5 linked regions of the Macaca mulatta genome follow. The protein of the gene in region 1 purifies or fractionates together with the protein of each later gene. This does not show direct contact. Links are inferred from orthologs where the notes say so. Each region holds a gene or a part of one and is shown in the gene's direction. Other genes may lie near its edges. The genes, in order: CYLD, MAP3K7, RIPK1, SPATA2L and SPATA2.

Evidence for each region.
Region 2: the proteins of CYLD (region 1) and MAP3K7 purify together in Homo sapiens (affinity purification with western blotting; 4 studies listed by BioGRID, with this or other methods). This does not show direct contact. The link is inferred for Macaca mulatta from reciprocal best matches to the Homo sapiens genes CYLD and MAP3K7.
Region 3: the proteins of CYLD (region 1) and RIPK1 purify together in Homo sapiens (affinity purification with western blotting; 5 studies listed by BioGRID). This does not show direct contact. The link is inferred for Macaca mulatta from reciprocal best matches to the Homo sapiens genes CYLD and RIPK1.
Region 4: the proteins of CYLD (region 1) and SPATA2L purify together in Homo sapiens (affinity purification with mass spectrometry; 3 studies listed by BioGRID and IntAct, with this or other methods). This does not show direct contact. The link is inferred for Macaca mulatta from reciprocal best matches to the Homo sapiens genes CYLD and SPATA2L.
Region 5: the proteins of CYLD (region 1) and SPATA2 purify together in Homo sapiens (affinity purification with western blotting; 10 studies listed by BioGRID and IntAct, with this or other methods). This does not show direct contact. The link is inferred for Macaca mulatta from reciprocal best matches to the Homo sapiens genes CYLD and SPATA2.

Annotation. Positions count from the first base shown.
Region 1 is NC_133425.1:46,201,325-46,205,604, forward strand, and holds part of CYLD (ubiquitin carboxyl-terminal hydrolase CYLD), read left to right. Parts: intron 1-1,526; exon of another isoform or gene 1,527-1,529; 5' UTR 1,530-1,679; coding exon 1,680-2,183; intron 2,184-3,580; coding exon 3,581-3,883; intron 3,884-4,280. UniProt on the Homo sapiens protein: Deubiquitinase that specifically cleaves 'Lys-63'- and linear 'Met-1'-linked polyubiquitin chains and is involved in NF-kappa-B activation and TNF-alpha-induced necroptosis.
Region 2 is NC_133409.1:95,449,860-95,453,112, forward strand, and holds the end of MAP3K7 (mitogen-activated protein kinase kinase kinase 7), read left to right. Parts: intron 1-1,533; coding exon 1,534-1,714; 3' UTR 1,715-2,602; downstream 2,603-3,253. UniProt on the Homo sapiens protein: Serine/threonine kinase which acts as an essential component of the MAP kinase signal transduction pathway. Plays an important role in the cascades of cellular responses evoked by changes in the environment.
Region 3 is NC_133409.1:180,192,244-180,197,174, reverse strand, and holds the start of RIPK1 (receptor-interacting serine/threonine-protein kinase 1), read left to right. Parts: upstream 1-1,637; coding exon 1,638-1,895; exon of another isoform or gene 1,896-1,978; intron 1,979-2,095; exon of another isoform or gene 2,096-2,229; coding exon 2,230-2,245; exon of another isoform or gene 2,246-2,418; intron 2,419-2,625; exon of another isoform or gene 2,626-4,931. Other genes in the region: uncharacterized protein LOC144340588, read right to left, coding at 1,100-1,639. UniProt on the Homo sapiens protein: Serine-threonine kinase which is a key regulator of TNF-mediated apoptosis, necroptosis and inflammatory pathways.
Region 4 is NC_133425.1:85,142,283-85,147,300, reverse strand, and holds the start of SPATA2L (spermatogenesis-associated protein 2-like protein), read left to right. Parts: upstream 1-1,603; 5' UTR 1,604-1,666; exon of another isoform or gene 1,667-1,803; intron 1,804-2,050; 5' UTR 2,051-2,051; coding exon 2,052-2,354; intron 2,355-4,964; coding exon 4,965-5,018.
Region 5 is NC_133415.1:102,751,546-102,756,504, reverse strand, and holds the start of SPATA2 (spermatogenesis-associated protein 2), read left to right. Parts: upstream 1-1,593; 5' UTR 1,594-1,622; intron 1,623-4,959.

The DNA of each region.
Region 1 (4,280 bases):
CAGGTTGTTTGATCATTAAGTGATTAAATCTAAAATTTGGTTCTTTAGTTTTAGGAGTATTTATTTCTGAATTGCTAGAATAAAATAAATATGATAGTGCTATCAATTGCAGCCATTATCCAGAATAATGGAAATGGATACCTCTATCTCAAGGAAGGATGAAATAAGTACTGTATTTGGAAACCAGATAGCCACATTCTTATGACAGGGATACCTGGGAACTATTGTTTTCAGCAGAAAATTAATTAAAATAATAAAGTAAAGTCTCAGTTTGAATTAATGAAATTGTGTAGTTTTTTAACCATCAGTTAAAATAGGTTTGAGAATAAGGCTACTTCATTGGAAAGATTATTAGTCTTGTAAAAATTTTAAATGAGGACCAGGTGCAGTTGCTCATGCCTGTAATCCTAGAACGTTGGAAGGCCAAGGCGGGAGGATCACTTGAGCCCAGGAGTTTGAAGCTGCAGTGAGCTATCATCACACCACTGTACTCAAGCCTGAGTGACAGAGCAAGATGCTGTCTCAATAAATAAATAAATAAAATAAATGAAAATTTGAAAAAGAAATCATAGAAATAAATTAGAATGCAATTATATCATGATATTCTCTTGCTCTGTGGTACAAGTTTTGATGCTACAAAATTGATTTTTAAAATATTTGTAATATAGTCACATTATAATATCTGATATTTGCGATTTGAGAAATTAGATGATAATTATGATTAATGTGATGAACATTGCCCATCTTCAGACAAAATATATGAAATGAAGTTTAGTCAGAGGTAAAATGTTCCATTATCAAAATATGGCCATATCATAGCTATCATTTATAGGCATGAGCCACAGAGCCCAGCCCCAAATGCTACTTTTAAAAGTTTATTAGTGTCAGAACATGGGCCAGGCCTGGTGGCTTACGACTGTAATCCCAGCGCAGTGGGAGGCCAAGACAGGAGGATTACTTGAGCCCAGGAGTTCAAGACCAGCTTAGGCAACATAGTGAGACCCTGTCTCTACAAAAAATAGAAAACTTAGCTGGGTGTGGTGATACGTGCCTATAATACCAGCTACTCGGGAGGCTGAGGTAGGAGGATCACTTGAACCTGGGAGGTCGAGGCCACAGTGAACCATGATTGTGCCACTGCAGTCCAGCATGGGCCACAAAAGTGAGATCCTGTCTCAAAATAAATAAATAAATAAAAATAAATTTTTTAAAAATTAGAATATGTATATAAGGGTAACCTTTAAAAGTTTTTACTAGAATCTGATTTTATAAATTTCATTGTCTTGGAAGCAAACATTATTGTGTTGTGTTTGAAAGTACCTTACAATTGGATTTCATTAATTAAATATGCACATTTGCAGTAGATAGAAGTAATATACTGTATGTCTTTAACTCTTTTAGATGTTTTTTTGAAAATATTTCATTTATGTATATGTGTTTACCGGTCAAATGAAAATTTTAAAAGTCTTCAGTCTTAATTTTCAGTCGTGTAGAATGAAGTCTAAAGTTTATTTCTGCTTCTTCAGCAGGCATTTAGATTTCCTTTCTTTTTACAGCATGGACACCACGTTGCTGAAAACATGCTTTGGGACTGCCACTGAATTTATTTTTTGCGGTTTTATGACAAAGTTATTAGTAGTTTCCTTTTTTTGAATTAGTATTTTGAAGTTAATATCACAATGAGTTCAGGCTTATGGAGCCAAGAAAAAGTTACTTCGCCCTACTGGGAAGAGCGGATTTTTTATTTGCTTCTTCAAGAATGCAGCGTTACAGACAAACAAACACAAAAGCTCCTTAAAGTACCGAAGGGAAGTATAGGACAGTATATTCAAGATCGTTCTGTGGGGCATTCAAGGATTCCTTCTGCAAAAGGCAAGAAAAATCAGATTGGATTAAAAATTCTAGAGCAACCTCATGCAGTTCTCTTTGTTGATGAAAAGGATGTTGCAGAGATAAATGAAAAGTTCACAGAGTTACTTTTGGCAATTACCAATTGTGAGGAGAGGTTCAGCCTGTTTAAAAACAGAAACAGACTAAGTAAAGGCCTCCAAATAGACGTGGGCTGCCCTGTGAAAGTACAGTTGAGATCTGGGGAAGAAAAATTTCCTGGAGTTGTGCGCTTCAGAGGACCACTGTTAGCAGAGAGGACAGTCTCTGGAATATTCTTTGGAGTTGAATTGCTGGTAAGTTTGATAAACCATTTTAGTAGTGTGTTTGTGTTTGTGTGTCTATGTGTATTTGTATGCACATACGTATTTTTCTCCTTTAAATACAAAAATATTTTCCCAAGAGTCTTCTGTAATTTTTAATATTCATCATCCTTGCTGATGAATCCATGTTATGGATAAATCCATAATCCAAAACTTGCTTATAGTTATCACTGATAATATGTGTGAAAATCACCTTGGAGTTTATTTCTGTTGGAAAGAGACCCAAGAACTCTGTGATATGTTTCTAAGCTTAATATTCTTTCTCAAGAACTTAAATGTCAATTATATTTTGCCATTCTTGCAAATAGAATTGCATGCCTTCTTTGCTTCTTGATTTAATTTTTTTGTTTACTTTTTAATGATGAATTGCGATGCTGTAAAGATGATGTTGAAAGTTTTAAAAAGCTATGTGCTATGATAGGAACATACAAAGAGGTTCACCTGGTTATTGCAGGCATTTATATTTTAGAAATTTTAACATTGCCTATATTAAGCATTAACACTACCAGTTGTAAATAGTTACATCAAAAGTTGTTGATTACCTTGCATTATCATCTGTAGGTTTCTTAGTTCTTCTTAATGTATGTTATTAAGTAATAACAATTTAGATATAAAATTTTTGAAAAAAAGTTGCAGAAATTTAAACTTGCTTGTGATTGTCCCTGATAATATATGTGAACATCCTTGGAATTTATTTCTACTGGAAGGAGACCCAAGAATGCTGTGATATGTTTCCAAACTTAATATTCATTCACAGTAACTGAAATGCCAGTTACATTTTGACATTGCCAGTAGAATTGCATGTCTTCTTTGCTTCTTGATTTAATTTTTTTTTAAAGCAGTGATTGTAAACAATTAGGAATTTGAATCCCAGTTAAGCCATGTACTAGCTGGGTTGCCAGGTTACTTAACAAAGCTACTTAACTTCTCTCATTCTGCGTGCTTACCAGTACAGTGGTGTTAATAGTACATGACTTGTAGTATTTTTGTGGTACATTGATACAGGATTTAGCACAGTGGCTGGCAGTAAGTGCTTAATGAATGGAGCTAACATTACTGCTATTTTAAAGTAACATTTTCTTTTCATAACCAAATTAATGTTAGAATCACAACGTGGAATTCAGCCTAGCTTTTTCATAATAGAGTTATGAATTGAAATTATCAGATAATATTTCAGCATCAGATACAACTTCTTTCTTATTTTTTTAAACACCTTAAATCCAACAGCGACTGCTAATAATTATATTATTTATTATATGTGTCATTTAGAATTTTTCCAGAGTGATTTTCCTGAAATCCCTAGAATGAACCCCCTTCCCTATGAGTAGTCTTTCTATATCTATTTCTTTCCCCTCTCTCTTAAAAACTAGGAAGAAGGTCGTGGCCAAGGTTTCACTGACGGGGTGTACCAAGGGAAACAGCTTTTTCAGTGTGATGAAGACTGTGGCGTGTTTGTTGCATTGGACAAGCTAGAACTCATAGAAGATGATGACACTGCGTTGGAAAGTGATTATGCAGGTCCTGTGGACACAATGCAGGTCGAGCTTCCTCCTTTGGAAATAAACTCCAGAGTTTCTTTGAAGGTTGGAGAAACAATAGAATCTGGAACAGTTATATTCTGTGATGTTTTGCCAGGAAAAGAAAGCTTAGGATATTTTGTTGGTGTGGACATGGTAAGAAACTTTTGGATTAAATATCTTTGTGATATATGTATTAGTTTGTATATATTTGTATATATACATAAACATATATACACATATATATTATATATGTATAGTTTATATATATATGTATTAGTTTTAGGACCAATTTACTTGCAAATTGAACACTTTGAATATTTAACATGATCTAATTTGGAATACTTTAAAGAGCATGTTCTAATTTATCTTTGCTAAAGGAGCATTGAAATAGAACAGGGGTCTAGATGTAGAATTACATTTAGTTTTTTTTTTTCCCATTTGAATAAACTGGAGTAATGTTCTCAATCTTTAAATTTGCCTTATTGTAGCTGACCAGTAGACAAAACAAAACAAAACAAAATGCACATATATTACATGACGTCCTATTTTT
Region 2 (3,253 bases), on another chromosome or scaffold:
TTTATGTTCTCAGAGCTGTTTAGATTTATTGGTATAAAGACTTACTGTTTTCTTGTACATAGATAAAATAATTTGATTTACTAACATTCAGTTGTGCCTTATCTTAAAAACATTTTTGTAGATACACTTTTTCCAAGTGTATGTTTAGGATTGGATTACTTATTAAAAGACTGTATTTCATAACTGAGTGTTTTTCTAAGGTGTTATAGAAACTGCCTTCCTCCCTTTTTAAAGAAATCCAGTCTAATTTCCTTACTACTACATTCACAGTTCTTAAATATGTATGTATCTTCAGTTTTCTTAAGCATGACCTTCAGGAAGTTTTATACTTAGGAAACTAAATTATTAGTGGTAACTAAAATGAAGTGTTAAGGAAAAAATTTTGGCAACTTTATATATGTATGATAATAGGATTCCCTTCATTAATTTTAATCTAAATAAAAGTTTTTTTTCCTAAATTTGTGAAAAGCTTTCTGTATGTGCTTCAAAAACAAAGAGAGAATAGATTGTTTTATCACAATTTATTGATACAGTGATTTAAATGGAACCAACCTAGTATTTGAAAGGTAAGCCTAAATAGGAAATTAAATACTACAGTCTGGAAATCGTAGAAGTAATTATGGAACTGCTGGCACTTTATGTTGAAAAAGCTCGATTTCTTATTTCACGTATTTAACCTATACTTTTGCCATACTTTAATCATTTGAAAGAAGAATTCTATGCTGGGAAAAAACAAATGGTAGAGTAGGCTGTTGGCTGTGAAAACTGTGACAGTTTTAATTAATTTTAAATACTTTCAGAAATAGTATTAGGTAATTATTTTGCTTAAGGACCTTTTATTATTCATTTATATCCAGTAGCCTCACTTTAGGAAATGCCTAAAGATGCATCTTTTTTGGGAATACTTAATAGTTCCCGAATAAAAGGGACTTAAATAAGTTTATCAGACTATAAAAGAATGAGGGTCTTTCCTGAAAATGCTTGCAAATGTAAGTATTTTAAAAGAAGTGGTACTTTGTAATTTTTCTCACTGCTTTAAAATGGGAAAAAGCTTTAAATTCGATAGCATTTATTTTAATTAGCTTGCAAATTTTCTGTTAGCTTACCACTCTCTACTATAGTTAAGTAGGATTGTGACTTCAGAATGCGAATGAGTATAAAAGTAGAATGTGAATGATAAAAACTTCATGATATTTTCCCATAGCCAGATAGAATCTTTCCCAGCCTTTTTTCATCCTTCCTATACAAAAAGAGGATAGAAAATGAAATTTTCTGAAACTTTTATTTTACCATTTTATCTGCTTCACTATTTATCCAAGTACAGTTACTTAATAAAAGGATTATGATATTTATATGATTACACTAGAAATAGATGAGAGTTCTACCCCAGTCCATAATTATGCTTGAGCAGTGTACCTAAGATGCAAAATGATAAACCCAGAATAAAAATTCTCATTAATTGAGCTTCCATCATCAGCCAGTAAGGTATGAATTTTTCCATCATGTGTAATATTATGTGGTATTTGTTTGTAGGCAAGAACTAGTTGCAGAACTGGACCAGGATGAAAAGGACCAGCAAAATACATCTCGCCTGGTACAGGAACATAAAAAGCTTTTAGATGAAAACAAAAGCCTTTCTACTTACTACCAGCAATGCAAAAAACAACTAGAGGTCATCAGAAGTCAGCAGCAGAAACGACAAGGCACTTCATGATTCTCTGGGACCGTTACATTTTGAAATATGCAAAGAAAGACTTTTTTTAAGGAAAGGAAAACCTTAAAATGACAATTCATGAGTGTTAGCTTTTTGGCGTGTTCTGAATGCCAACTGCCTATATTTGCTGCATTTGTTTCATTGTTTATTTTCCTCTTCTCATGGTGGACATACAATTTTACTGTTTCATTGCATAACATGGTAGCATCTGTGACTTGAATGAGCAGCACTTTGCAACTTCAAAACAGATGCGGTGAACTGTGGCTGTATATGCATGCTCATTGTGTGAAGGCTAGCCTAACAGAACAGAACAGGAGGTATCAAACTAGCTGCTATGTGCAAACATCGTCCATTTTTTCATATTAGAGGTGGAACCTCAAGAATGACTTTATTCTTGTATCTCATCTCAAAATACTAATAATTTTTTTCCCAAAAGATGGTATATACCAAGTTAAAGACAGGGTATTATAAATTTAGAGTGATTGGTGGTATATTATGGAAATACAGAATCTTTGGGGATAGTTCAGTGTAAGGGCTTTGATGCCAGCATCCTTGGATCAGTACTGAACTCAGTTCCATCCGTAAAATATGTAAAGGTAAGTGGCAGCTGCTCTATTTAATGAAAGCAGTTTTACCGGATTTTGTTAGACTAAGATTTGATTGTGATACATTGAACAAAATGGAACTCATTTTTTTTTAAGGAGTAAAGATTTTTAATTCTGTGATTGTGTGTATGTGTGTTGAAACTGTAAAGCTTTTATGACTAATATTAATCTCTTAAATGAAATTAAAAGGCAAAAGAACATGATTGAGCTTAAATGATCATTTCTTCCTGCAATGATTCTTGGATTGTTTTCTCATGTATTTGAAACAAAAAATGAAGAAAAATAATGGAAAATGGAAATTATTGCTCCAGCTAAAAAAGGCTTGGGCTTAAATTTCTTTTTATGATACCAAATGAGGAATAAACCAGGCAAATCAGAAGGAAGTTAAAAAAGTAAATATAAATTCAACAAGTATCCTAACTATCCTGGATATTGAAATATTTGATTTTCCTTACAATCCCATAGAATGCCTGCGGCCTTTCTACACTTTTAAAATAATTTCAACACTTACAGAGTATTTATATTGTTACCAGTAATTTTGCTACCAAAACCTTCAGAATAACTTTAATAATAATATGACATTGAAATAATAGACTATGCAAACTATATTTTTTCAGTTGGTGTTAAAATAAGTCACATTTTGATACCAATACAAGGTGTCTTTCAAACAAGGATGTCATCAATCTGATTTTTATAGCATTAATGTTTTAGGAAGAAAAAGTTCAAAATGAAGGCATTAATTGCTGTGATTATTAGAATTCTGTCATGACCGTATTGCAGTTTTTGCTCTATTTCAGATAAGCAAGATCTAAGAAGTTATCAAAACTATTCTTTAAAATGCTAAAGCAGGTAACTTTTTCTTCCATTATTTTTTCCTCCTACCACTGAGTTTTATAATGAATTCCTTGTGTATACAAGCAATACAGGTGAAGGA
Region 3 (4,931 bases), on another chromosome or scaffold:
AGTGATTCTCCTGCCTCAGCCTCCTGAGTAGCTGGGTCTACAGGCATGCGCCACCATGCCCGGCTAATTTTTGTATTTTTAGTAGAGACGAGGTTTCACCACGTTGGCCAGGCTGGTCTAGAACTCCTGACATCGTGATCTGCCCACCTTGGCCTCCCAGAATGCTGGGATTACAGGCGTGAACCACCTACCCAACCTTAATAAGGGTGTTAATTAAAAAAACAAGCTAGGCACCTAGGGTATAAAATTGAAGGAGGCTCTGATTCTCAGGGCCACGCAAATGCAGGGCTGGCACCTATGAGTGTGGCCCTCCTGAAATGTTGTGCCTTAGGCACCTGGCTCTCCCTAATTCAGGCCCTCAGGAGAAAGCCCTAATTCTGGTCAGTTCGCAACAGGAGGACACGGCTTCTGGGAGACACTCGGTGCTCCAGAGAGAGGCATTTGGTCCGTTCTCTTCCTCTGGACGTCACCGTGCCGACATGAAATGCTTCCAATTGCGTCCAGCCTAGGATGGAGCGGGGTGGGGGGGATATCTGGTGACATTACGAACTGCTGCATCAACTCCCCCGAGTCCCTGCCTCTGGACCCCCGAGAGAGGACACAAGGAGTGTCCGGAGCCCATGTGACTCAGTGTCTCTTCCCATCACTTCGCGGGAAAATGGGGCTGCTTACACCGCACCGCAGCCCAAGCACCTGTGGCTGGAGAGGGGCTCGGGCGCCAGGAGTGAGGAGCCTGGTTCTGGGCCCGGGACCGGTACTAGTTAGTGGTGGGACCTGGAACAAATGGTACTAGTTAGTGGTGGGACCTGGAACAAATGGTACTAGGTAGTGGTGGGACCTGGAACAAATGGTACTAGTTAGTGGTGGGACCTGGAACTAATGCTTTGCTTCTAAGTGAATCCCTCATATTCATGACAAGAGGCGTGGAACACAGACCCATGGGGCCTTCCCACTGGAACATGGAGCTTGGCTGTCACCCGACTTCGCTTCCTGAGGTAGAAAAGCCCAGGGTTCCAGGCTCTGTCTCCTTTCCCGCAGACCCCTTGTTTCTTGGCGCGGAGGCCCTGGGCCCCGCAGGCTCCCACCCACTTCTCTGGGCTCAGAACTTCTCTGGGTTCAGAACCCGATCCCGAAGCGGCCATGGTGCTGCCGGTGGCCGAGGCCGGGCGCGCGCCTTGGGAACCTGGCTGGCCTCAGGCTGGCGGGAGCATTCGCGGACCTCGCCCTGGGCCGGGAGGACTGGGGGACCCTGGCCTGCCCCTTCCCCTAGCCCTGACCTCGGCCACCACGCGCTGGTCCCGCCAGGCTCCGCCTGAAGGCAGAAAGCGGGGCGGGGGGGGGGGGGCGCCCGATCCTGCGGTATAAAAGCGGTGTCCGCAAAGGCCCTAGTGGGAGTCCGCGGCGAGCGCAGCAGCAGGGCCGGGTCCTGCGCCTCCGGGATCGGCGTCCAGGCTCGGAGCGCGGCACGGAAACGGCGGCGGCGCTGGACCAGGCGGTAGGTGCGGGCGTCCCCGCGCAGGGCGCTGCGGGTGGCGAGGCTGGGTGCGCGCCTCGGGAACCTGGCTGACCTCAGACCGGCGGGAACATTCGCGGACTTCGCCCTGGGCGGGGCGAACTGGGGGGACCCTGACCTTCCCATGTTCCTAGCCCTGCCCTCCGCCACCGCGCGAACGCGCGCGCCTCCCAGGATAGTCCCGGCAGGCGCAGCCCCAGTCAGGCGGCTTGTCAAGTATGGGAGGAGCCTAACAATCCCAGACAGTTTAAAAGGCGGTGCCCGCCAAGGCCCGAGCGGGAGTCCGCGGCGACAGCAGCAGCAGCAGCAGCAGCAGAGTCACGTCTTGGGCCCTGGGGATCGGCGTCCAGGCTCGGAGCGCGGCACGGAGACGAGGTGGCAGGTGAGGGCGTCCCCGCGCTGGGCCGGGGTCGGGAACGGGAATGGCGAGCTTCAGGTCCCCCGGCTGCCACCGAAAGATGAGACCTGAGGACAGGAGAGGTCGCTCATCCAAGAGCCCCGGGGAAGCGGTGGTGTCTCGGCGGGTCAGGAACGGTCTCTGGGGGGTCCCCTGCAGCGCGCAGCCGGTTTCCGCCTCCGCAGCTCCCCGCCAGCGCGGACGCCGCCCTCCCCCACGCCTCCTCGCTGCCCTTCTCTGGCCGAAGCTCTCCCCTGCAGCCCCTCCCCACCTGCCAGCCCTGTTTTCTCACTGCTCCTCTCTGCTCTGGGATCCGCAGGATGACGTCTGTCCCGGTACTTCTCTTTCAAAGTCACCAGTCTCCAGTTCCAAATCCGAGCACTCTTACCCATCCTAATTCTTTCAATAATTCAGCGAAACGGATGGGGCCCGTCCTTCCCCGGAGCATATTTCCAGGGACTGTGAATCCGCGAAGCCAGGCTCAGCCGTCGCCTGCAGGGCCTGCGGTCTGTGGGGACCGCCAGCAAGATGAGGAGTCACCTTCGGGACGAACGGTCGTGCTGGGGAGGGTTGCGCCGGCGGGGTCAAGGGAACCTCCTTTAGGGTGGGAATCAAGCCTCCAGGCCGCGGTGTTTGAGGGTGAGTAGAATTAATCCCGTGATGGACATGGGGCCTTGTAAGGGGGACCAGGAGTTTGTGAAGAGGTGACTTTGGGAGGGGTTCAGGATGGCCAGAGGTGGAGGCTGTGACCTGAGCGAGGCTGGATCAAGGGAGGGGGCAGGTGGAGAAGAAACCGTTTTAACAAGGTGGCTTTGAGCGGATCCTAAGGGTTCTGGGAGATTTAGGAGGAAGGCCAAGAGGATTAAGACACCGCTTTCTGAGGATGTTGTGTGGCTGTGGCATGGTGGTGGCTGAGGGAAGCGGGTTGTCTTCATTGTCCAAGGCTCTCCAGTGCTTTGCGTGGCGTTTTGGGGAGCACACATGAGGTGTCCCGACAGTGAGGAGTGGCTCTAAGGTGAGCAGAGGCTCGGGAGGGGGCCTGCGCATTAGGCCAGGCACAGGATCCGAAGTGGAAAGAAATGTGGGCGAAATGTGGGCGTAGAGGGCAGGCCTTGGGGATGGGTGTGGGGGACGAGGGGGATGGAAAGGGGTCAGGGAGGTCTCCCAGGCTCACCTGGAGGAGTGAGGGTCTCATTTCCAAGGGCACTGGGAACTGCAGCCTGGGGGTGGGGGTTCATTTGGTTTCAGACCTGTGGCGAAGAGACCCACCCCCTCACATTCACACTTTGGCTTCCACTAGCTTCAGAGGTAGTACTAGCTCTTTGTTCTCGCTGGTTTTCCTTCCTCACCTTGGGCTGTTTCTTGCCTTTTCCATTCTGGTGTTCTGCAAGGACCAGTTCCTTCGTCTCATGTACCATCTACACTCATGGCTTTTGCTGGGAGTAATGAGTAAAGCTCCCAAATAGATGTTTCTGAGTTAGAGCACTGAAAACAAAATGAAGCAAAAACAATGCATTTCCAATCTTCCAAGATCACATGATGTCCAGAGGACAGTGATGGGCAATGACTTTTTGTCTTCCCCATTAGAATGCAAGTTCCACAAATGGAACACGGAGATTTTTATTTATTTATCCTTTTTTTTTTTTGAGACGGAGTCTTGCTCTGTCACCCAGGCTGGAGTGCAGTGGTGCAATCTTGGCTCACAGCAACCTCCACCTTCTGGGTTCAAGCAATTCTCCCACCTCAGCCTCCTGAGTAGGTGGGTCTACAGGTGTGCGCCACCACGCCCAGCTAATTTTTGTATTTTTAGCTTCATCATGTTTGCCAGGCTGGTCCGTAACCCCTGAGCTCAGGCAATCCACCCGACTGAGCCTCCCGAAGTGCTAGGATTACAGGTGGGAGCCACTCCACACAGCCAGAACAGAGATTTTTTATGTTTAATTCACAACCGAGGCTTCACTGCCTAGAACAGATGCTCAGTAAATATTTATTGAAGGAATGAATTCCTTTTTGTATCTCTTGTATCTATCACCAGATACTCTTGTATCTAGTACCTATTTGGCATACAGTAGAAAGCTTTGTTGAGTGAATAGCTCTGCCTTTCGTCTTTTTTGGTATGTATACATCTTTTAAAAAATAATGAATAGACTTTTAGAGCTGTTTTAGTTTACAGCAAAACAAAGCAGAAAGAAAATATCCCCTCCCACAAACATCCTGGACTGTATAGCCTCCCCTACCATCAACATCCTGCATTAGTGTGGGGTATTTGTTACACCTGATGAACCAACATAGATACACGGTTATAAAAATGAACCAATATGGATAAAACATATACATTATCAGTCAAAGTCCAGAGCTTGTTAGGTTTTGCTCTTTGTGTATATTCAAGATACATTTGACAAATGTATAATGAGATGTACCCAACACTGTAATATCAGATTCCACTGCCCTAAAAATCCCTTGTGCTCCACCTACCTATCCCTCCTTCCCTGCAAATCCCTGGCAACCACTAATCTTTTTTACTATCTCCACAGTTTTTCCTTTTCCAGAATGTCACATAGTTGGAATCATACATTATGTAGTCTTCTCAGATTGGCTTCTTTCACTTAGATTTATACATTTAAGATTGCTCCAGAATTTTTTTTTTTGTGGCTTCAGAGCTCATTTCTTTTGAGCCTTAATATTCCATTGTATAGATGTGCCACAGCTTATCTGTCCACCTATTAAATGACATCTTAGATGCCCTGAAGTTTTGGCAATTATGAATAAAGCTGCTATAGACATTCTTGTACAGGTGTTTGGGCGTAAGCTTTCAACTCATTTGGGTAGATATCAAGGTGTGGAGTTGCTTCATCTTATGGTAAGAAGAGCTTGGTTAAGAAATTGCCAAAATGGGCCAGGCGCAGTGGCTCACGCCTGTAATCCCACCACTTTGGGAGGCTGAGGCAGGTGGATCACGAGGTCAGGAGATCGAGACCATCCTGGCCAACACGGTGAAATCCCGTCTCTACTAAAAATGCA
Region 4 (5,018 bases), about 39 Mb from region 1:
CAGGGAGGACGAAGGCAGAGCAGTTACCTCCACCCTCCTCCGCATCAGAAGAAGAATAAAATAAAGGAGTTGAGGCTTACGAAGTTAGCTGCCCCGAGAACTGGTGTGGACTCATGGTGGCACTGGACACCAAGGCTGGGTTCAGTAAACTGTAAGTAAAAGAACTCCCTGTCCAGAGGTGGCCACCTACATAGGGAGATCCACCGACTCCATTACAATTTTTTTTTTTTTTTTTGCAGACAGAGTCTCCTGTCGCCCAGGCTGGAGTGTAGTGGCGCAATCTTGGCTCACTACAACCACAACCTCCGCCTCCCAGGTTCAAGTAATTCTCCTGCCTCAGCCTCCCAAGTAGCTGGGATAACAGACATGAGCCACCACGCCTGGCTAATTTTTTTATTTTTAATAGAGACGGGGTTTCACCATGTTAGCCAGGCTGGTCTCGAACTCCCGACCTCAGATGATCTGCCTGCCTCGGCCTCTCAAAGTGCTGGGATTACAGGCATGAGCCACCGCTCCACGATCACAATATTTCTAAGATGCCAGCAGGGAACTAACTGCCAAATAAAAATTCTAAGAAAAATCGGGGACCTCGCCGCCCAGGCCCAGAGAAAGTTTCAACAAACTTGGGCCTTGGTTTTGGTGGCCTGGAGAGGTGAGGGACACAGACGTGAAGGAGCAGAGCCTGTCCAAAGCGGGGGTGTGGGGTGGGGGTGTCTCGGCTGGGACCTCCAAGGGTCTCCCTCATCCTCCTCTACTTCTGGGCAATGCGAGAAAGTGCCTTTAGCACAGAACAGAGGAACCCGAGCGAAGAAAACGTCCCCGGGAAGCCGTGGCCCAGATTTAGCCTGGATGGATCCGGGGCCCAGGTCAGCTTTTAGCTTAGAGAGGGGGCGGCTTCGCCCTGCCTCAGAGACCCGCCCAGACGATGCTCTCAAGGGCGGCAGATGGCAAGTGCAGGAGGAGGCCGGGAAGCGGAGCCAGCAGAAATAGAATCTGAGGTCCCCGCACCCACCTGAGGCTGCTGTTTCAGACGAGGCTGAAAGGCTTGTCCTTGCGCCCACCTTCCTCGCCGCGGGCCCCTCCCGCAAGGGGATGGCCCCGCCCGACAGGGGAGGCCCGCCCCCGGGTCCGGCCAATCCCCGCCAGGTAGTGCAGGTGGCCCCGCCCCACAGGACGGCTCTTCCCAGGATCCAGCCAATCCCCGTCAGGTAATGCCTGCGGCCCCGCCCCACAGGGGACGAGCCCGCGCACCTGCTTCCTCGCGGCCGAGGCGCCCGGGGCTGGGTCCCCGTCTCGTGGGGAGGAGCGGCCCAGGCACAACGTTCACTGAGCGCCTGCCATGAGCCCGCAGCCCTCGACCCAGGGGCGTCGTGAACGATATCGGTCCCGTAAGGGGACGGGCGACGCGGTGACAGGAGGCTCTCGGGGTGCCTCGCGCAGGTGCTCGGCCGGGCGGGACGCCGCCTCCTCCCTTGCTTCCACCAGGCCCCGCCCAGGCGCACAGGCCCCGCCCTCCTAAATTAGCCAGAGGCGGGGCCTGTGCCAAGCCCCGCCCCTAGCGTCACGGCCGCGGACCCCGGGCGGAGCCGGCTCCCGGCGGAAGCGCGCGGCGCGCGGGGAGGCCCGAACTGAGCGGCGGCGGCTGGAGAGCGCTGGGGACAGACAGGTAGCGCCGTCGCCCGCGGGGTCCGCAGCTCTGTCTGCCGGGCGAAGGGACTCTGGTCGGGAGAGGGCTCAACGGGCGGAAGCGCGTGTCTAGAGAAGGGTGCGGTCGATAACCGGGGGCGCCCCTGGAAGGCCGAGGTACCCAGGCTGGAGGGAGGGGCTGGAGGTGCGGGGGCGCCCGGCTGGAGGGACCTGGATCGCTGGGTGGGCGGACAGCTGATGGGGCCGAGGTCTCCAGGGTAGGGGGTGCCGAAGGTACCGGGGGCGCCCAGCCGGTGGGGGGGGGTCTCCAGGCTCGAGGGGTCCTGGGGACGCTGGGTGGGGGCCCGGGGAGAGAGCGGCTGGCGGGGCGCGGCCGTAGGTCCCTGACCCCCGCCCCCCGCAGGATGGGCAGCAGCTCGCTGTCCGAGGACTACCGCCTGTGCCTGGAGCGCGAGCTGCGACGGGGCCGCGCGGGCGTGTGCGGGGACCCCTCGCTGCGCGCGGTGCTCTGGCAGATCCTGGTGGAGGACTTCGACCTGCACGGGGCGCTGCAGGACGACGCGCTGGCGCTGCTCACCGACGGGCTGTGGGGCCGCGCCGACCTGGCGCCCGCGCTGCGCGGCCTGGCCCGCGCCTTCGAGCTGCTGGAACTCGCCGCGGTGCACCTGTACCTGCTGCCCTGGAGGAAGGAGTTCACCACCATCAAGGTAGGCGGAGGTCAGGAGGAGCGCGCCCCTCGTCCTGGCCTGCGGGTCGCGGGGCCGTCGACTGTGGGGGACCACGCCTTTCGGGGGAGAGGTATCCTCAGTGCCCGGTGGGCTTCTCAAGGCTCCGAGCGCTGAGGGGTCGTGGGCGTGTGGGGGCACCCACTCCTAGGGCTGAGATCATGGGGTGGGCGAGGGCAGGCTGGGTGCTGCCTACGGGGTCCTGCCCTGAGAGCTTGCGTCAGTGTCTTCCCTAAGAGGCCTCGCGGCTCCAGTTGCCATGGAAATATTAGGACAGGGGCACAGAAGGGATTTGAGGTCTCGTGGTCATCCTAGTTCCTCTAGGATATGGGCCAATCCCATTTGCAGAGGAGGACAGCAGATGGGTGCATCCCTGTGAAGTCTCAGGGCTGGCACAGACCTAGTGAACTCCTCGGCCTGGGGCCGGAGGCTGTGCCCAGGGCTGGAGGCTGTGCCCTATGGCTGGCCTGGCCCCTCTAGGTGAGCTCCTGGCGGCAGGAGGGGGCAGGGCCGCCGGGAGCTCTGAGCTAATTCGGAAGAGTAGGAAGCCGATGACGTTACTGCGCACGTGGGCGAGCTACGCCTCCGCCGGTTGCCATGGCAGCGGCCGTCTCTCCGCGGCTCCCCGGGGACACCTGCTGGTCGGAGGGGCCAGGACTCTCATTCATGAGAGAGACGGACAGGCCCGCCCTTGAGGCCTCCCAGCGGGGCAGGGCAGGGGAATAACCGGCTTCAGTGCTGGGCAGCCCTGGTTTGGACCTAGTCCTGCTGCCTCCTGGCCTCGAGGCCTTGGCCAAGTTAGCTAATCTCAGCCCCTTTCCTCCCCTGAGACAGGGACACAAGAACAGTCCAGTTCATGGGGCCAGAGGAATGAATCGAAGCCCCGAGCTGAGTGCTGCAGGCCCTGGGTGTTCCACACATGGGCCGTGTCATGCCATTAGATGCTGGGAGTGCCTGAGTTAGGGAATTTTAGTCAGGAGACGCTCGCAGTGATTGTCCTGAGGTTCCTTTAGTTCTTCACTTAACTGTAGGCTAGAAAGCACTCACCCTTGGCCGGGCGCGGTGGCTCACGCCTGTAATCCCAGCACTTTGGGAGGCCGAGGTGGGCGGATCATGAGGCCAGGGGTTCGAGACCAGCCTAACCAACATGGTGAAACCCCATCTCTATTAAAAAATACAAAAATTAGCCGGGCGCGGTGGCTCACGCCTGTAATCCCAGCACTTTGGGAGGCTGAGACAGGCGGATCACGAGGTCAGGAGATCGAGACCATCCTGGCTAATACGGTGAAACCCCGTCTCTACTAAAAATATAAAAAGAAATTAGCCAGGCGTGGTGGCGGGCGCCTGTAGTCCCAGCTACACGGGAGGCTGAGGCAGGAGAATGGCATGAACCCGGAAGCCAGAGCTCGCAGTGAGCTGAGATCCGGCCACTGCACTCCAGCCTGGGCAACAGAGCGAGACTCCGTCTCCAAAAAAAAAAAAAAAAAAACAAAAATTAGCCGGGTGTGGTGGTGGCGCCTGTAACCCCAGCTACTCAGGAGGCTGAGGCAGGAGAATCACTTGAACCTGGGAGGTGGAGGTTGCAGTGAGCCGAGATTGTGCCATTGCACTCTAGCCTGGTGACAGAGCGAGACTTCGTCTCAAAGAAGAAAAAAAAAGCACTCACCCTTCTGCTATCCCATGGCTGTCAGCCCAGTGCACAGACAGCCTCTGTAGGGCTCTGAAAACAGATGCTACACCCCCGTGGTGGAATACTACACAGCAGGGGAAATGAATGCTACAGCTTCCGTCCTGATCTTCTAGAATATAATGGAAAAGAACAAAGTTCAGAACAACACGTTTAAGAGGCTACCTGTCTAGCTTTGGTTAGAAACCTTACAAAGAAAAGAGGTGAAAAAAAACGGGGGTGGGCTACCTCATAAGAGGGGCAAACAAAATCTGTATGGGCAAATACATTCAAAACTAGATTAGGCCATCTCCACGGGTGAAGGGAGTGGTGGGAACCCAGAACAGTGGAATTTCTCAGTAAGCTCTTTAGTTTGTTCTGATTCGTGAGCCAGGTTAATGTATTAGTTGTTTTTTCCATTAAATTTTAAGAAATTCGGCCGGGCGTGGTGGCTCACACCTGTAATTCCAGCACTTGGGAGGCCAAGGCAGGGGGGCGGGGGGGATCATGAGGTTAAGAGATTAAGACCTTCCTGGTCAACATGGTGAAACCTCGTCTCTACTAAATATACAAAAATTAGCGGGGCGTGGTGGCGTGCACCTGTAATCCCAGCTACTCGGGAGGCCGAGGCAGGAGGATTGCTTGAACCTGGGAGGCAGAGGTTATAGTGAGCTGAGATTGCACCACTGCACTCCAGACAGTGCACCAGTGGTCTGCACTTTTGAGACTCTGTCTCAAAACAACAACAACAACAACAACAAATTCTCGTGTTTGGGCCTGGCCCAGACTGACTAAGCCTAGTCTCTGGGGTTGGGCCTGAGCATCAGAAGCTGCCAAGGCCTGAGCGGACAGATCCCGGACCCACTGTATCCTAGGGTCCGGCCTATGGGAGGGTGGGCAGCACTGACCGGGCCGCTCCCTTGCAGACATTTTCCGGGGGCTACGTGCACGTGCTGAAGGGTGTGCTCTCAGACGACCTC
Region 5 (4,959 bases), on another chromosome or scaffold:
CCTGGGTGACAGAACGAGACTCCATCTTTAAAAAAAAAAAAAAAAAAGATGAGAAATGTGACTTTCTTTGGAGACTTTGGGTCTTTTCTGATAGTAGATGTCACCAAGTTTCGATGACCAGGGTTTCCTACTGGTAAAGCCCTTCTTCAAAATCTTTGTTTCTCTTTTGGCTGTCACAGACCCACAGAGCTGGAGGGGACTTTTTTTTTTTTTAGCAGTCCCACGTGAAAATGCAATATTGTAAGAGCTACCAAACCAGAGTGTTGAGTTGTTGTAAAGGCAGACTTAAGGTGGGACAGTTTGTCTCAGATGAAATTCCTGTGAACATTATCACGTTGCAGATAATGAAGAGAGGAGCTTAAACATGAGCTGATAAAGAACACAGGGACCTTGAGCGGTGCTCAGGCAATTACAGGTAAACACAGTAATGCTACTGTTTGGACAGCAGATTGCTGGTTCTCCAAACGTTTCCCAGTATTAAAGTCACTGATTCATCACACAAGGCCCACCGGTTTTAGCTGGGGTCACCGAGACTCAGAGTGAGAATCCTACAATCAATGAACATCTATTGTGTGCCTCCTCATCAGACATGTGCGGAGCTTGGGGGGAAACAGATGAATAAGAAGCTCAGGGTCTGGTGGGGATGTCAGATTTTATATATATATTTTATATTTATATATATTTTATATATATATAATTTATCTGAAAGTGTTGGGATTATAGGCGTGAGCCGCCGTGCCCGGCTTTTTTTTTTTTTTTTTTTTTTTTTTTTAAGAGACATGGCCTTGCTATGTTGCCCAGGTTGGTCTCGAACACCTTGGATCAAGCGATCCTCCCGCCTCAGCCTCACGAGTAGCTGGGACTACAGTCGCGTGCCACCACGCCTGGCTTTATTAATTTTACAGGTTATAAAGCTGAGACTCAGAGAGGTTAGGTAACTTGTCCAAGGTCACACAGCTAGTAAGTGGCAAAGCTAAAAATGGGACCCACGCTCTTAACCGTCGCCCACAGCCCGTAACACCGACAGCCCTAGCAAGGCTGGATTCCAATCACGCGTGATTTCAGCGTCTCACTGGCTCTCTTTGAGCCTCAGTATTTCTGTTCGTACAATGGGGGCGAGGGATCCGACCGTTAGCCCCTGCTTGCTTGTGCGGAGTCATGAATGCAGCTCCAGGCTCCGTAGCGGTTTCCATGACAACCCGGCCAGCCACCATCCCTAAACCGAGTGGCTTCCGTCACGTCCGGCCTGTTTACTTCCGGGTCCTAGCTCCAGACGCGACGATGGCTCGTTAGGCTCCAAACTGCCGTTCCGCCGCTTTCGTCCTCGTTCTTCGGCCTTCCGCTTTGTTCTCGGCCTCTGGCTTGTAGTCTCCGTCGGCCGCGGGCATCGACCGCTTCCCGGAGCCAGCGCGCAGCCGTGGTCCACCCTCTCTTCGGACCCGCCTCCTGGCGACTTCACTTCCGGGCCGAGTGTTTCCGGGTCGCTGCTGGCCCGCGGGTACTGGTCTCAGTACCCCTGCAGCCGGCCGGAGCGGCTAGAGCCCAGTGGGGCCCGGCTCCGGCGGCAGCCGCGCCTCCCGCTTGCTTCCCTCGGCCGGGCAGCCCTCGGCGGCAGTGTCAGGGTGAGTGACGGGCGGCCGCGAGCGGAAACTGTGTCCGGGGCTTCCCCAGGTGGAGGGGGCGCCAGACAGCGGCAGGGCTCTGCTGGCCCGTGAGCGGGGTCCCCTCACGTCAGGCAGGACTACAGGTGGGCCCGTTGTTTCGGCGCTCCCGGGACCCCCAGCCTATCCTCAGGATCCCCATTCTCCTGGGAGCTGCCTTGTAAGCTCCTGGAACCCACCGAGGGTGGCTCAGGGCCGCTCAAGAGGAGCACCCTCTCTTCGGCGACTGGCCAAACAGAAGGACACCCCGATTTCGCCACGAGGCGGTTACTGCGCAGGGGTTCCCAGTTCAGACTCTCTGGCGGCACACCTGGGTTTGTACTCACTGTGTGACCTTGGATAAGTCACTTCATCTTAAGAGCCTCAGTTGCCTGTTTAAGTGTGATTGAACCTGGTTGCTAGGGCTGGAGTAGAGATGGAATGAGATCATGCAGGGCCCCTGGCATACAGCAGGCGTCCAGTAAGTGATAGTTCCTGTTACTTCATTCAATTCACGAACCCGTGGGGAGGGCCAGAATTTGAGACTGGGCTGTTTTTCACAACTGACGTGGCCCCCCGAGGCTGTAGGAATGACCGAGCTGGGACTTAGCAGCCGCCAGCTTCTGTCCCTTGCAGGGAGGGAAACAGCTTCCTTCAGAGGCAGCTGCCACTAGGGAAGCTTCTTTCGGCACCGCTGAGGTTATTTTCAGAGGTTTGGAAGGACTCTGTGTGAATTTCTTTGGAATCTAGTAGGAGTGTGGGGACCTTCTGGTGTTTCACAGCCCGTGGAAGGTGCCTTGGATGTGTCTCGGAGCCTCTTGCTTGGAACGAGTGCATTGGTGTGGGTGGGGAGGTGGAGGGGGTTGAACTGACTTCCTCGTCTGCTGTTTGGAGGCTGATGGAGCTAGACCAGGGATGTGTAAACCTGTGGACAGGGGCAGTGCACAGACCAAAATAGCTCTGCCTGTGCAGAGAGGGGGCGCCTTCAAATACTGCTTGGGGAACATTTCTGCTTGAATGGGCCAGCTGAGGTAAAGCCAAGCGAATGCTTTGTTACTCGGAATCACTTCACTTCCATGCAGTGGGAGTCTAAACAGATACAGCTTTCCTCTTAGATGTTTAGAAAATAACTAAATAAGCCACTGCCTCCCTGACTGCAATATCTCTCTTTCCATTGACTTGCTTTTCAAGAGGGTGCCTAGATTGTGGGTTCAGGAGGTGCTGACTGGAGCTGTTGACTCTGGGCACCTGCCTGCCTCTATGTTCAGGATATTCACAGTGCTGTTTTTTTGTCTTTTGGGTTTTTTTTTTTTTCTCCCACCAGACTGGCACGGCTTGGCGTTCCAATCCTTGGGTTGCTTGGAGAAATTAACAGCTTCTGTCGTTGGGCTGTCTCGGTCTCCTGTAACCACGATGTTTTTGCAGAGAGCGTATTTTGTTGTTCTTGCAGAGTGCTGGGAATGAATTGCTGGCTCTGTGCTCAGAAAAAACACCAGCTATGACCAGCTACAAGGCATCTTGTATTCTCAGAAAATGTTTTCAGCAGGGATGATGTCAGCTGCTTCATCACTGGCCGATGTCTCCGGCCAGCCTCTTTCCTCGGCCCTTGAGCTTACATCATATAGAGATTAGCTCTCCTAGCCCCATTCGGTGTGGGAAGATGGGAATTTTGCTACTACAGGAATTTTTGTAACTCAACTCTGCTCGCGCCGCCATAAGGCATTCTAACTTAGCCAGACACTTTCGAGTAGAGCTGTCCAGCAGATGCAGCAGGATGGCTTTGCAAGAGTCAGAGTTTTGGCATTAGACCTAGGTTCAGAGCTCAGAGCCACTTCTTCCTAGCCTTATGACTTAGGGTAAGTGAGTTGGCCTCTCCGAGCCTCAGTTTCCTCTTTAACCTTGGATCTATCCTATGGATTTCATTGTTTTTCATAGAGCAGTTAGCAGAGAGCTGCCACACAGTAATCCCTTGGTAAATGGTACTGATGTAACAATAAATGAGTGAGATAAATTGGAGAAAGCCCCAGGCATCAGGGCCTGCCAACAAGAGTTCAGATTCCAGCTCTGATCCTTTCAAACTCTGTTGGACAGGTTGTTTTAATGGGAGAGCCTGTTTTCCTTATAGAGTTGTGAGGATTAAATGGGATGATGTAGGTAAAGTGGGAAGCCCAATACTTAGCACATAGTAGGACCTCAGTAATTGTTAGTCTCTTTCTTTCCTTTCCTTACTGACTGATTGAGACAGAATCTTGCTCTGTCACCCAGGCTGGAGTGCAGTGGTGCCATCATAGCTCACTGCAGCCTCAAACTCCTGGGCTCAGTGGATCCCCCCACCTCAGACTCCCAAGTAGCTAAGACTATAGGTGCATGTCACCACACCCACCTAATAATAATAATAATAATTATTATTATTATTATTTTTGTAGAGATGGAGTCTATGTTGTCCAGGCATGTCTTGCCCTTAATTATCTTTTAGCTTTTACTTTCTTCCGCCTTTTCCCTCACCTACCCAGGTTGTTTGGAGATTTGTTTTAGATATTTTGGACTTCCTGTCCTTGTTGTTCAGATTTTGAACATCAGCTGGGCTGTTTGGATCCCTTTGCTTTATTTATTGTTTTTCAGCAACAAACAAGGGTGTGGACTGTGGTGCGATTATAGAGCAGCATACGCTGAGCCGAGCTTGCGACTGGCTGACTTTGTAAAAAATCAGTCTCTTTGAGTTCAAGGCTGACTTCCTTGGAAAAAAATTACAGCAGTATTCAGAAACTTAATGTCTCTGTGTTTGAATGGTTCTCAGGCTACCAGAAAACAAGCCCTGGGGCCAGAGGCGTGATTGCAGCTTCTCTAAGTCAAGAATGGTAAATGCATGTGTGACTATCCTCTCCAGTGTTGCAAAATACATTTCTTTATGTAGAGATGGAGTTTTTGCTCTGTTGTCCAGGCTGGAGTGCAATGGCACGATCTCAGGTCACTTCAGCCTCTCCTCCCGTGTTCATGCCATTCTCCTGCCTCAGCTTCCTCAGTAGCTGGGATTACAGGCGTTCGCCACCACGCCCAGCTAATTTTTGTATTTTTAGTAGAGATGGGGTTTTGCTATGTTGCCTAGGCTGGTCTCAAAATCCCGACTTCAGGCGATCCACCCATCTTGGCCTCCCAGAGTGCTAGGATTACAGGCATGAGCCACCGCACCTGGCCTACATTTTTATTTTTTAAGAGAATATACATTTTAAATTGTTTATTTTTTTATGGACAGAACAGTATGAACATAGAGCACATACATACTTTGATACGAAGTGGTATGCTCTTCCAGCTAGATTTG